Drosophila melanogaster: one gene and its partner. The protein of the gene in region 1 interacts with the protein of each later gene in a pairwise test. Each region holds a gene or a part of one and is shown on either strand. Other genes may lie near its edges.

Evidence for each region. The genes of interacting proteins can lie anywhere in the genome.
Region 2: the proteins of Rpt2 (region 1) and Prosalpha6 interact in binary tests that used the Drosophila melanogaster proteins (3 or more experiments, as listed by UniProt).

Annotation. Positions count from the first base shown.
Region 1 is NT_033777.3:23,928,076-23,935,561, reverse strand, and holds Rpt2 (regulatory particle triple-A ATPase 2), read left to right. Parts: upstream 1-4,003; 5' UTR 4,004-4,235; coding exon 4,236-4,238; intron 4,239-4,299; coding exon 4,300-5,616; 3' UTR 5,617-5,669; downstream 5,670-7,486. Other genes in the region: CG5854 (uncharacterized protein), read right to left, coding at 1-198, 265-533, 630-998, 1,218-1,391, 1,502-1,535; RpS19b (ribosomal protein S19b), read left to right, coding at 2,167-2,472, 2,543-2,704; CG13599 (uncharacterized protein), read right to left, coding at 2,901-3,506, 3,568-3,849; CG31142 (uncharacterized protein), read right to left, coding at 5,670-6,047, 6,150-6,239; CG43999 (uncharacterized protein), read left to right, coding at 6,584-6,725, 6,783-6,951, 7,009-7,198; CG43998 (uncharacterized protein), read left to right, coding at 7,256-7,486. UniProt on the Drosophila melanogaster protein: The 26S proteasome is involved in the ATP-dependent degradation of ubiquitinated proteins. The regulatory (or ATPase) complex confers ATP dependency and substrate specificity to the 26S complex.
Region 2 is NT_033779.5:10,218,162-10,225,141, reverse strand, and holds Prosalpha6 (proteasome alpha6 subunit), read right to left. Parts: upstream 3,792-6,980; 5' UTR 3,700-3,791; coding exon 3,697-3,699; intron 3,629-3,696; coding exon 2,999-3,628; intron 2,941-2,998; coding exon 2,734-2,940; 3' UTR 2,596-2,733; downstream 1-2,595. Other genes in the region: CG5708 (uncharacterized protein), read left to right, coding at 1-184, 250-382; Bcs1 chaperone, read right to left, coding at 701-1,996; Npc1a (Niemann-Pick type C-1a), read left to right, coding at 6,271-6,363, 6,740-6,910, 6,970-6,980. UniProt on the Drosophila melanogaster protein: The proteasome is a multicatalytic proteinase complex which is characterized by its ability to cleave peptides with Arg, Phe, Tyr, Leu, and Glu adjacent to the leaving group at neutral or slightly basic pH.

The DNA.
Region 1 (7,486 bases):
AGTGACTTTCGGATGCTGCAGCACGTAGCCAAAGTCTTTCAGTTTCGTGTTATCCAAGTAGAGGTGCTTGTGCTGGAGCTGCTCCTCATCTAGGTACGGTGTCAGCGGGGTGTTGTCGATGCCATTGCGCTGGCAAATCTCGGCCCAGGGTGCCATGTGCTTGTCGTTGATTTCACTGACGGTGTCCGTGGGATAAAGCTGAAAATTCAAGCGAATAATAAACAATAAGCTGAAGCTTAGTGCGCCGATTAAATGCTAACTTACTTTTGCCAAATTCGACATTACAAGGCCGAAGAAATCCAAATTGATGTCGAAAATATCCACTAAAAGATTACTAATGGTGCCCTGCGTCGATGCTGAATCATCGCAGATGTTGTAGATCTGACCGGCGGTCTTGGGACTCTGAGCCAATTGCCAAACGGCAGCGCACACGTCCGATACGTGCACAGTATTCAAACGCATGGCATCGTTCCACAGCAGCTTCATTGTCTCGTTCAGGTATTTGTATATGGCAGCGATTATAATGCGCGGCACTGTAAACGAAAGGCAATGGGTGGTGGGTTCGGGATTAACCCATGGGCTTTGTCAATTACATCAATTATCGGGTATCAGCGAAGAGGGACACTCACTCAAATAGCGCTTATCGCCAATGCCATAGACCACGGGCAAACGGACGACCGTGTAACTGAGATCGTCGATGTTGGCCAGTTCCTTCTCCACCTTGAGCTTCTGCTTGGCCACGCCCGTCCAGGGATCCGTCTTGCAGTCCTCTTTTAACGGCGTCTTTTCGCTGCTGTTCACACAACCAGAGCTGAGTTCCACGTATCGTTTGACCCGCTGGTTAGCCGCCTCATTGGCGCAGTTCAAACTGAGCTTCAGGATACCCTCCTTGTATACGGCATCATCCTGGTTGGCACGCGTCTCGGCCGCACAATTGATGACAATGTCCCAGGCCCGTCCAGTGGTGGGGTGTGGCGCAAAAGCCGCCTTGCATGAGGCTGTATGAAAACAAAGGGAAGCGTTCTATAACCAGTTTAGGTGCAACAAATGCATTAGGGTGGCTCGTTACGCGCAGCGATACCAAGGTGGTACTTGAAAATTCTATATCCGATAGCGCTTTCCTTTCACAAGAATGTTAATTGCGGATTTTGGATCTCCATAGGAGTTGTGATCCGCATCCTGGTGGAACGAGCCACCCTAATGTAGTGATTACCTACCGGCGTTTATTAGGTTCGCGCTGCAGAACTCCACCCGATCGCTCTCGAAGACCCGCGTCTGCTCCTCGTTTAGCCATGCCATCTGCGGAGGGGTCTTATCGGCCAGTCGTATTTCCTGCGCCAGTTCATTGTCCAGCAGATAAGTGGCCAAGTTGCGTCCAATGAAGCCGCAGCCTGCGGGAAGAGGAAGAGCAGCGATGCAGTCAGCGATGCTGATAAGCGGAAGTGTGGAGTGGGGAGCGGGGGCAGGATGACGATGAGGAGGATGCAGCGGGACCACTTACCACCCAAAATCAGAACAGTCGGCTTTTCAGACATGCTGCAGGCGCGACACGGTCAACCGGAATGCGAATGAGTCAAGTCGAAAGATATATATTTGTTAGCGCTCGAAATGCTTTTTGTTGTTTTGTTTGGCTGTATTTCTAGTGTGACCATCCCGTGATCATTCTTAAAACAAGAAATACCTTCAATGCTCCACAAGCTGGTCACCCTATGGCGCTGTATTCAAACCTCTTCGAATGCTCTTCAATTAGCGTAGAACGTTTTATTCATTTATACAAACCAAAATACAGCAGTTCTTTGATTCTTACTCCATAGGGCTTCAGTGTCATAAAATTGTCCTTGTTAGTCTACCTTAAACCCCCTGTCACCAAGAACAGTAGTTTTGCTACATTGCGTTCCTTTCCAAGTTTATAGGTTAAGTTTTCGAAAAGAATTGCCAAGTTCACCAATACTGCACGACAAAACTATCGGAAAGTAATCCTTTGGGGTCAATGACCTGGTCCCTCTTTCAAACGTCACTTGCCAATCGTCCATTTTGACTAAAGTCAGCAAACTAACCGGAAGCAAACCTTTTTCTTCTCAAAAGGTAAGACTTTTTTAAATACATACATACATATATCGGACCCATGAGCCTTAAAAACGTGCTTTCAAGAACGTAGAGAGCAACATGCCTGGAGTCACAGTAAAGGAAATCGATCAGCACGTTCTGACCAAAAACATGGCTGCTTTTCTCAAAAAATCCGGAAAAATTTTTGTGCCCGAACAGGCCGTCTATATGAAGACTGGCAAGTTCAAGGAGACTGCTCCTACCGACGACGACTGGTTCTACACTCGCTGCGCCTCTATTATGAGACACCTGTACCTGCGCAGTCCCGCCGGCGTTGGGGCCTTCACCAAGGTCTATAGCGGGCGCAAGCGCAACGGTGTTCGTCCGTCCAAGCACTGTCGCTCATCGGATGGCTGTATTCGCAAGGTGAGTGGGAAATGGTTGTACTTTAAGGTTATATTTAATATTACTTAGCATGTATCTAACACATGAGCAGGCTCTTCAAGCCTTGGAAGCTGCTAACATGGTGGAGAGGCACCCGGATGGTGGTCGTAAGCTGACTCCGCAAGGACAACGTAACTTGGATCGCATAGCCAACAAGATTGTGGCCAAGCAGCGAGAGCGCAGTGCACCAGTTTCCATGATTATCACTACCTAAGATGATAATACCAATACCACGATGGATCATCTTTGAGTGCCTTGGGTTTTCAAAACATTCTCAATAAATCGAAACCAAAAATAAAATTAAACAATTATATACATAATAAAATAACTTAATACTTGAAATATAAACGATTCGAAACTTTATTTTTGACACAAACACGCCGAATAGCAAGAATCCAAGTTATAAAATGTTAGCTAGACCACAAATCTCCCGATTTTTGGTTGCCAGGAGCTCTGAAACCGCGAACTATGACCTCGGCCTGCCACCAACCGCTGGTTTCATTTGCTGCTTTCAAAACGTCATGCTCTTCGTTGGTCTGGCTAACGTCTTCCCCAGATTTATCCAGATTCCGCACGCCAAGATCGTGGTAAATATCCATCTCCTTGCAGCAGCGTAATTCATTCGGTGTGTTTTCACTGCAATGCAGTAGATGCAGGTGTATGTTCTTGCAGCTGCGCGGAAGTTGGCTTAATATATGCTTTGGGATTAGATTAAAGGAGTCACAATGGGATCCTTGGGGTCGATCGGAGTCTGTAAGGAGCTCCATTTCTAGAAACACGTTGGTGACTTTTAGTTCGGTGGAGAATAGCCTGTACAGCTCCTCGCAGGTGAGCAGGCGGAGCAGCGCCTGGTTGATGCGACCTTCGGGCAGAGCATGGTGCTCGCAATAGTGATCTCTGGATATGGAATCATGTGGTATGTGCAGAGTATAGGCCTCCGAGGGCATGAACATATTGTTGCCAAAAAGAAATCGCAGGCTCTTCACTTCAGAGCTCCTGAAGGCTTGTCGGATGATCTGTAGGAGAGAACTGGCAAGTAAAGACCAAAAGAAGTCCTGGATGTAAGGGGAACCTCACCTCTCTCATGTCACTAATAGATTCCTTGGTGGCCTTTGCCTTAGAGCGCTGCTGGTTGCGTTGGTAATGAGCAAAGGACTCCTGATCCTTGGATTCTCCCGATTCATCAGCATCTGACCATTTATCCACATAATATTTGTATGTTTTGTACACGAAGGGGATTTGCCGGCGTTGATAGAGCAAGAAGTCCAGGATGCCATTCACGAACTCCGCTGTTGTCCCACTGGTCAGAACCTCAATGTTATCCAGTTTAAGATCAACATTCTTGACATTTTGATCCATTAAAAGGTCGCAATATAACAAATTTAAACAAATGCTCTTTTCGCACTAATTGCAAACGTTGCCAGACTGAAACATTCAGTTTGTTTACAGTAATCGATAAGTATATAAAACAGTGACTTTTAAAATTTGCTTTTTTCAAGTCTTGAATTCATTTATATTTTGGTTGTTAATCATTACTATTGTTTTAATCCGATTGCTTAAGCATTTCTTGCCTATTTTAATTTTCACGTTTTTTTAAAATATTTGTTCACCCTTAGAGTTGCCAGACCTTCATGTTTCCATAGTACGGCAACACAGCTAACGCGAATGACTAGTAATTTTGTTGCCGACAATAAAGAGTAAAAAGTTCATCAAACGTTCGGCAAAGCAGCAAGCACCAAGACAAAATGGTAAAATAGCACCTTCAGAACACCCTGAACTCATTTACGATCGGGAACAATACATTTGCAGGGACAAAACCAATCGGCTCAAGGGGGAGCTGGCGAAAAGAAAGATGACAAGGATAAAAAGAAGAAGTACGAGCCTCCAATCCCAACGCGCGTTGGCAAGAAGAAGAGGCGCGCAAAGGGTCCAGATGCGGCCATGAAGCTGCCCCAGGTCACGCCCCACACCCGCTGCCGCCTTAAGCTGCTCAAGCTGGAGCGCATCAAGGATTACCTGATGATGGAGGACGAGTTCATCCGCAACCAGGAGCGCCTGAAGCCCCAGGACGAGAAGAACGAGGAGGAGCGCTCTAAGGTTGACGATCTGCGCGGCACCCCCATGTCCGTGGGCAACCTGGAGGAGATCATCGACGACAACCACGCCATCGTGTCCACATCGGTGGGCTCCGAGCACTATGTTAGCATCCTGTCCTTCGTGGACAAGGATCAGCTGGAACCAGGCTGCTCCGTGCTGCTCAACCACAAAGTACACGCTGTAGTCGGAGTTCTCAGCGACGACACCGATCCAATGGTCACGGTGATGAAACTGGAAAAGGCTCCGCAAGAGACTTACGCAGATATCGGTGGCTTAGACACTCAGATCCAGGAGATCAAGGAGTCTGTTGAGCTGCCACTGACCCATCCCGAGTACTACGAGGAAATGGGAATCAAGCCACCCAAGGGCGTCATCCTATATGGGCCTCCTGGTACGGGCAAGACCCTGCTAGCCAAGGCAGTGGCCAACCAGACCTCGGCCACTTTCCTGCGCGTTGTAGGCTCAGAGCTGATCCAGAAGTACCTGGGCGACGGACCCAAGCTAGTTCGTGAGCTCTTCCGTGTGGCTGAGGAGCACGCTCCATCCATTGTGTTCATCGACGAAATCGATGCAGTGGGCACAAAGCGCTACGATTCAAATTCTGGTGGCGAGCGGGAGATTCAGCGTACTATGTTGGAGTTACTGAATCAGTTGGATGGTTTCGATTCGCGCGGCGATGTCAAGGTGATCATGGCCACCAATCGTATCGAGACCCTTGACCCGGCGCTCATTCGACCCGGTCGTATTGACCGCAAGATCGAGTTCCCGCTGCCCGATGAGAAGACCAAGCGCCGCATCTTTACCATCCACACATCTCGCATGACGCTGGCCGAGGACGTGAACCTTAGCGAACTGATCATGGCAAAGGACGATCTATCCGGCGCCGACATCAAGGCCATCTGTACAGAGGCTGGCTTGATGGCGCTGCGGGAACGCCGCATGAAGGTGACCAACGAGGACTTCAAGAAGTCAAAGGAGAGCGTCTTGTACCGGAAGAAGGAGGGCACGCCCGAGGGTCTTTATTTATAAGTCGCGCGAAGATATACTTTCAAGTTAATTTTGATAATTCCCAAACACATGCATTAAACCACATTAACACTAGAATCGCTCCCCGATGTGAATAAATTCGTAGTTGCCGGGAGTTGCTGTGCCAGTTTTCCTAGGAGGTCGTCCACGTAGGTCTTTTGTTTTTCGGATATAACGTTGAGTGGAGCGCCTTGATGCTCCAAATATGTGAAGTGTGCTTTATTTGTTGCATCTGCCAGTTGGAGTTTTTGATAAGCTTCTCGTTCTGCATTCCATTCGGAGCTTTCAGCTCCCGCCGCATTGCTTATGGTTTCATAGAAGGCACTCAGTTTGGCCAGTTCGAATCCAGTTTTAAAGCCATTCTCAAAGCCTTCATCGAAGCTCTCTTGGAAGACCTTTTCCCTGCCATCGGCAACGCCATCTGCATAGCTTATCTTGATAGGGAAAGGGTATTTAGAAGTCGTGTTTACTCGGCAATGTAAAGCCAGCTGATTTCATCATGAAAGCTGGCCACGCCAAATTCATTTTAAACTTACCTTTGCCACCTTTTCCTGCACACGATGATAATTAGTCGAGCTGATCTCTTTAAACTCAGTTTCATCATCAGAATCCCCAAGTGCCGACATTATTTTTTAGGAAGAATATTAAAGCATGCAGAGGTAAAGATTTAATAACAAACAAAACCAGCGTTTTAGTAACAGGTGTGACCGGGTTTTATATGCCAAATATTACCGATTCATAAACTAAACTGTCTAAACATCTTTCAAGAATCTGTTAGTTATTAAATAAGAACAAGAAGTTTAAAAAGAGTACATGTTTTAAATTGCTGGGTTTGGATATCCACAGACTTAAAGTTATTGCGACTCAGAAATTGAGTTTAGAAATAATTTGAAAAACTGATTATATGAAATTTGAAAATTTTCGGTTGTAGGGCACTTAGGGAATTCTGTCGAAACTTAGAAATTGCACAATGGTTGTGGGCGTCTTTCCACTGGCGAAACTAGCTTTACTTGCCATTAAGCACATTAGCAAGCCCATTGGCAATCTGATCAAGCAAACGGCCAAAAAGAATAAGTCATTCAAAACCCTGGTTGTTGCTCCTCCGGCGAGATGTGAGTACAATCCGTGGAATGCCCACCAGTTATCATCATAACCAGTATAATGTTCAGTATACCACGTAATTGATGTGCGCTCCAAGATGTGGATGCTGGGACTTGGACAACCTCGTCTAATTCCGCCCCTCACTGACGCGATGACTATCCAAATGGGCGGTGATATCCTGGGCGAAATGGTCATCTTCATTATTGGCGCCACGCTGATTGTAGGCGAGTTCAAAAGGTATGCAAGCCTCGATTATCTTGAAGAAATCTTGGCTTATTTCAAATATGCTTTTAGGCAAGCCAAGAATGACAGGTTGAAGCACGAAAAACACAAGATGCATCGGGAGAAGCTGGAGGAAAGAATTGGTAACCTCACCAACAAGGTCGCCCGCCAGACCAAGGAAATCAATCAGCTGAGGAGCAAGCTGGGAAGTAGGGAAACCTATACGGCATATTGCAATACAGGGGATTTGGAATGTAACTGAATTGGCCTGGAAATCTCAGTCGCCAGTATATTCGTGCTAAATTTTATGTAACGCACAATGGTGATTGGTAGTTTTCCAGTTGGAAAAATTTTCATTCATGGCGTGAAACGGATTAGCAAGCCATTCGGAGACCTTCTGATTTGGATGGGCAAGCATCATCCCTTTATACGGCGCTACATCATCATTCCGCCTGCCCAGCTCTACAACACCTTTGAGGTCCGTTCCAAGCTTCGTATGCTTCGATTAAAGCAGCCCAGGCGGATTCCACCCCTCTCCACTCCGGTCGCC
Region 2 (6,980 bases), on another chromosome or scaffold:
GGTGCTCCGGAGTTTGTTCTGGCTGCGGAGAAACTATACCGCCAAGTGAACTGGTAGCGAAAGCACTTACTGGAATAAATAATATCGATTTACAAAATCAACAAAAACAAATAATTAATTGCGTATTTCATCTAAGGTGCTTTAGTTGTGCTAAGTGTGGATCCAGTCTGCGTCCTGGTGATAGGTATGCCTAACAACACACTGCAGTGAAGAGCGAATTTGAAATGGAATTGCTTTTTCTTTTTGCAGGTATACTATGTTAGGAGCTAGCTTGGTGTGTGAACAAGATTGGCACAAATTACTTAAGGGCCCCGCCAACTCGAATGGAACGCTTGGACAAAGGAAAGGAAAGGTCGGTAGGCCCAGAAGATCAAAGGACTAATCAAACTTAATGTCACATAAAATATACATATATTTTAGAACATAGTTCATATTTTTAAATTACCTATAAAAATGTAATTAAATCATAATATAAAACAAGACCTTCATTTAGGTGAGTTCGATTGGGAATTACACGTGCAACTATGCATAAAAACGAATGGATAATCTTAAATCATTGAAAAATGAAATAAATTCGAAAACAATGACATAAACTAATATCGAATGACAGTAAAATTGATAGATGTTTTAATTAATTAAGACCCAAAAGGGACATCAGTCTTGTCTTAAAGAGCTTCAAGTAAACAAAATCCACAACAATTCAATTAATCTTTTTATTATGATCTAAAACATTTTCCCAGATATCTTCACAAGAATCAATAACAGTTTGCGGCGAGGACAGTTTGTGCTTCATGAAAAAGCCTTGAATTTGCGCCGGACTAGCGGAGCGTCCAAAGGAATTCACTCGTTTTCCGAACTCCTCGGCTTTTGTGGTGTCACTGCTGGCGAAGAAGTTCTTGAACATCTCCTCCAACTGATATTGCGTACAATAGCCAATGTATTCCTTTAAATCGATTCTACCAGGACGAACTAAGGCGGGATCGAGGCGGTCAATGTAGTTTGTTGTCATGAAGACAATTCTGGCCTCCGTGGAGCCCACACCGTCCAAGCAATTTAGGAGTCCACTGAACGTTATCCTGTTGAGACCGTCAAAGGCGGATTTCTGCTGCGGAGTAGCTTCGCGCGAGACGAATGCTGCGTCGATGTCCTCCAGCAGAATGATACTCTGCTCTGGCGCAACATTCAGGAGATGATTGAGTCGATCATCGGTGAGGCCTCTTTCGGATAGGTTTAGCAGGCAGACACTGTACTCCAGTTCGCCCGCCAGGGCGGTTATAAAGCTAGACTTGCCACAACCAGGTGGCCCGTACAGAAGGTAGCCTCTTCGGTAGGGGATTCCACGTTGCGTATACCACAGAGAGCTCTTAATGAAGTCCTGGCAGTCGGCAATGATTCGCTGCGAAGTTCCGCGATCCAGCACCACCGATCCAGTGGGACGCCTTCTGCGCGGATGTCCGAAGGGTCTCCATTCCGCACCCATCGCTGTGTACAGCACGGTTTTGCCCTCTGTGGCCTCCAGAGCCAGCTGCCTAGCCTCTTCGAGGATATCGAAATATATACCTTTATTGTTACCAAACGCTGTAAGCGTCACTGTCTCCCAAGGAACACCCATGTGAAGGTCCAATGTCTGTTGTTCCCTGGTCCGCTCCACCTGAATCCAATTGCCCTTGTACTGGAACAGATGCTTGCCTATGCTGGGTATGAAGTCATAGCTGGTTTTGATTGTGCCATTGTCGTTCTGCACAAAGTTTGTCTCCACGCTCAAGTGTTGCGTTTTTCGCGCTCCTCTGATCGTAATCCATTTTAACAGCCACTGATAGGATTTGTCCCGACACGGCACCTCCAGGGTAATCATGCAGTGCCGCCGGAACAGTATCACTCCGCCCTGGAGGCCCTTGCGCAATATGGCAGCAGCGGCGCCCACACCAAATAGTCCAAAACCGGCACCAAAGTAGGGATTTGACGAAAGTCCAGCTACAAGATCGGGCAAAGTCATCTTGTCTGCAAAAACCGAGAACAAGGATCAACGTTTAATTAAAGTGTTTTACTCTTTTTCGGCAATAAAACCCTATAAAACAACACCTGTTGCTTAATCTATCATCCAAAACATGGGTTCCTCCTGTAAACAATGGTACATCTTTTCGAAGCAACTTTTTAAACAAATAAAACTGAAGTCTAACATATACTGTTTACGTGCGCTTCAGCAAAGGCACCAACAATTTTATTTTCTCATGAGAAAACCATGTAATTTTATTATTTAAATCAACCATTTGCCATCACTCTCGTTATGTAATTAATTGTAATTTAGGTGTGAGCAAATAAATATACAAGTTGCCGCTGAAGTGGCACATTTTATTTGGCATAAAAACCATCTTAGAGGATAACTTGTCATTCACTAAAAGCAATCAACATTTTTTTATAGTAGAAATGTTTCAATACCGGCATTGATAAATATTTTTAATCCAACAGTGTGACCGAACTGTGAAATCGGAAAAATGCAAATAAGTTGGGAAAACTTATATCGAAAAACCAATATTTAATAAATACTATAAATAAATAATAAATGAAGGTTTAAAATTAAAATCAAAAAATTTTACCCATAACATTGATTTTTTGTATTCATTTATTCAGTTTGTTCCGTTTTAGGATCTATGCAAATGCATGAACAATTTTATTGTATCCTTGAATCTTACATTTTTAATGGTTAAGATGCTTTCATAGCCCTATAAATGCCTATGGACGCTGCTCGGTTGCAACCAGGACTTCTGGGTCGCGTGGTCCGGCTGCTGGTTCCTCTGGGGGGGATGGGCGATCATCGTCATCGTCGTTCCTGGGCGTATCATTGTCATTCTCTTTGGCAATCGCCACATGCTTGGCGCTGTCTTTATTAGAGAGAATTGTGAATGGCTGGTCTTTGCCGACGATGGCCACAGTGATGTCCTGCAAGAAAAACACAATTTACTAACTATTCGCGACGGGAAATGTGCAATGAACTTACATACTGACCGGCATCTTTGCCTTGCTCATCCGTAGGCAGGGTACCGAGTATAGCGCGAATTCCGTGACGGATGATTTCATCTTTGGAACTGTCCAAGAACTTGTTCAAATTCTTCTCCAGATAGGTGCGTGCACTCTGTGAACGCGATCCGATCGAATTGGCCTTGCAATTGAAAAAGGTCGCCGATGGCGTGACCTGATAGATGTGCGGACCCCTCTCATCGTAGCCGGCGACCAAAAGGCCCACTCCATACGGACGGCGATCGTAGCGCTGAGTGGTCGTCTGCATCTTGTTGCCCAGGTTAGTGATCAGACGCGAGACTGGATAGGTTGTATCGTACGAGTGCTTGTAGTTCAGGCACTCGGAGCGCAAGTACCGGCTAAGGACGCGGGCATCAGCCGTGAGGCCAGCAATGGAAATGCCCAGGTGATCGTCGATTGGGATGATCTTGCGCTGGGTATCCGATAGCTCCGATGTCGGCTTACACAGGGCGACAAGTACAGCGTAATCTTTATTTTTCAGGCCCACGGTTGCGGTGCCAAGTTTCACGGCCTCCATTGCGTACTCCACCTGGTGGAGACGTCCCTGCGGACTCCACACAGTAACATCGCTATCGTACTGGTTGCGAAACTGAAAGCAAAGATGTGAGTTTGTAACAAATGCAGTTAGCACACCATTATTCGCAATAAACACTTTACCATGACTTTTGAAATGCAAGCCGCTGAGCTCAATGATGACAAGTAGAAATGCCCGATAGTTAGTTATGGCACGCCGGGAGACACAAACAAACTGTGTATCGGGTATCGATAAGGGATTCGGGCATGCTATCATTTTTGGAACGATGCAATAGAACATTGTAGGATATGCATACAAATTTAAGGGGATAATGATATTAATTATAATCAGTAAACTTGTATGAGCACCTTGTTAATCGTAGTTAAATTAATTCCAGCACCACATTATACCTGACTACACACGTTTAATTGACCAACAATTACAGCATACCATGTGAGTAATACAATTTTAAACTATAACGGCTTATCGGGACTTAACTAACAATTAAGTTATATTTAGTTTAATTTATTAACTGCATACTTAAAAAATTAAATGAATTTCTTGTTCCATTCGCTTGTTCCCAACTTGCATTCGGAATCACTGCATATCGACTACAATCGATTGTTTTGCCATTAAGTCTGATAAGCTGTCAGTGGGAGTGTTTACGTTTTAATTGTATATTTCAGTTAGTTTTCACTCTCTCCTGTTTTGGGACCGAGGGTTTGTAGCTCCGTAATCGGATTGTTTGTCGAGGGTATATGCTCGCCTATATATATACCTCCACTCGAAAGTGTTAGCATCAAAATTGCATTGTTAAGATTAGTAGAAAGAAAGATTTTCGTGCGCACCTTAATCATAAAGCCGTGTAATTTAATTAACTGAAGGAATTAACTAAGGTGACTTCATTGCACACACACATACACACAAACCGCTACATACATATGTACACCTCATAATATCCCTATATACGTATGTGCACGAACAAAGAAAACATTTTTATTGGTTCGGCGCATTACTAATGTTTACAATTAACGATTTCTGTGAAAGTGATAGTATACTTATATTGCGTGCCCTTCAATGCGGCTACTGTTCGCTGTCCGTATTCCCATATCTTCGCTACAAGATTGCTTTATTCCGTGACATCCGCTTAGCTACATATCCAAATAGCGCAAAATAAATATATAAATAAAACATCGTGAATGGACCAGCACAGAATATTTCAATCCGCTGATCATATCCCATTCCCGATGCCATTTACCAAATGCGACTGACCACCAGCCAAATTTGCATGTGGCGAAGGGAAAAAAGGCAATCGAAGCGGTTGTGTCGATTTCCCAAGAAGTTGTACATAGTACGTAGCGAGCGAGCATAATGGAATTTCCCCCTCCATAAAATCAGACAACTAGTTGCATCATCACTTTCTCAGTAGTCGTTTAGTATTGTAGATACATATAACGAAAGCCAGTTAACGACAATGCGTTTTAGCGCGAAATTTAACGTATCAATGTCAAAGACCAAACCCGACTTATGTATGTAGCTCCATGCCCAGCTACCTTGTTAACCTAGCTAGTCGGTATCAAATGGTCTCAGTGTTCGTGGATTCACTCTATATTGACCATTGGGTCACAATTCTTGAACTGCTCTTAATGGATCACGAGTTTTTTGGATATTAAAACGCATTTTGTGTCAATTAGCACACAAATCATAGGTGTACGATTTCGAAAACTATTTCAATTCTTTTTGTCATGCATTTTTTATAGAATATTTTCAGTATACAAGATAGTAAAATCATTCATCTTTTTTTTTAAATACGAATGCAATTGTTTAGATTTATCTTAAATTTATTTTAATACATATTCTAGTTTGATTTTTATGACACAAAGTCATAAAGATTTATAAATATTAATTTATTAAAAGTTTAACCATCGTTTTGTCAAAATTCCGCTATTAATTTTAGCATTCTTAGAAATTTTGAATAATATTTTATTAATTCATATTCATGCCTAACAAAACATGTGGTATTTTTGAAAATTTTACTAACATTTTTCTTTGTAAATACAAAACATTTTGGCAAATAAAAGTTAAACAAATTCGAAACAAACGCAATCTTTTATTTTGGTATATTTGGTTTTCATATCGGTATATATTATTTTAATGAGTGGAGGGATTATCCGAAATTCTAAACCACCCAACCATATAATGTGCACTGTTTTGATTACATTATAATTTCGAGTATTTGATTACACCATTCAGCAATATATATTGACTGAAACTGAATGGATATTGAAGCGTGGCAATGAATCAGTTTTATTGTTATTCTTTCCTTAGGAGGCAGTTCTATTATTAGGAATACTGCTTATCGAATTGCAGCGCATCTGCAGAGTCTAAACAACAATTTAATCGCCAGATATCGCAATTGCGAGTTGCAAGTGTTCCAAAACTCACTTCGTTGTATATTTTGTATATATATATTTGGTTTGCTGGAATAAATGTTTATTTAATTCGTTGGAAAACGGTTTCATCTGGCTAAACGCAAATTTGCATGAAGTGTACTTTATTTGTGTAAGCGAAAACGTTGAATTTGCCAGGCTCGGATTACATTTGATTCAGTTCTTAGTCGAAAACCGAGACTCTTACTTCGAATATCATACATAATAGTAAGCCCAGGTGCATACTTTAACCAAAAACGTTCTTTACAGATATGCGATTGTGATAGAATGAGTCCAAGATCCCCGCTCAGGATATCTCCATTTGGAGTACACATCCTCATCGCTGCTGTGCTCTTTACGCTAATTCAATCATCGAAACAGGTAAACTAACATTTGGTTTTTATCATTAAATTTCAATATTTTATCAATATTAAGCATACTGGGTTTTTAATCGCGCAGATTAGTCGTCGTAAAATCATTTCTGAAAATGGACTGGTAAATTGTATTGGAAAAGCTGTTGTTTCACCTCAACAATGAATGAGCTAAAACAGATGCAAGGCAATTAGAAAAAATATATATTTTTATAGCTCTGGGTGGCGGTGAGATGACGTACTTAGTTTTGGAAGTAATATTTAAATTTGAAAAAGGTATTTGGGGTCAGCAAAAAGATAGCTAAAAACCAGACTTCAACTTAGCTTAGCTCACTCTACATATCTCTGCTCTATAATGTTATTAACTTATTTTGCAACTTTTTAAGGACTGCGTTTGGTATGGCGTGTGCAACACCAATGACTTTTCGCACAGCCAAAACTGTCCGTACAATGGAACAGCGAAGGAAATGGCAACTGACGGTCTGGAGCTGCTGAAGAAACGCTGTGGATTTCTGCTGGAGAATAGCGAAAACAAATTTTGCTGCGATAAGAATCAGGTTATGAGTAGCATTAGCTTTGCCCAGGCGTCATAATTATCAAACAAATGCCTTTGCAGGTGGAGCTCCT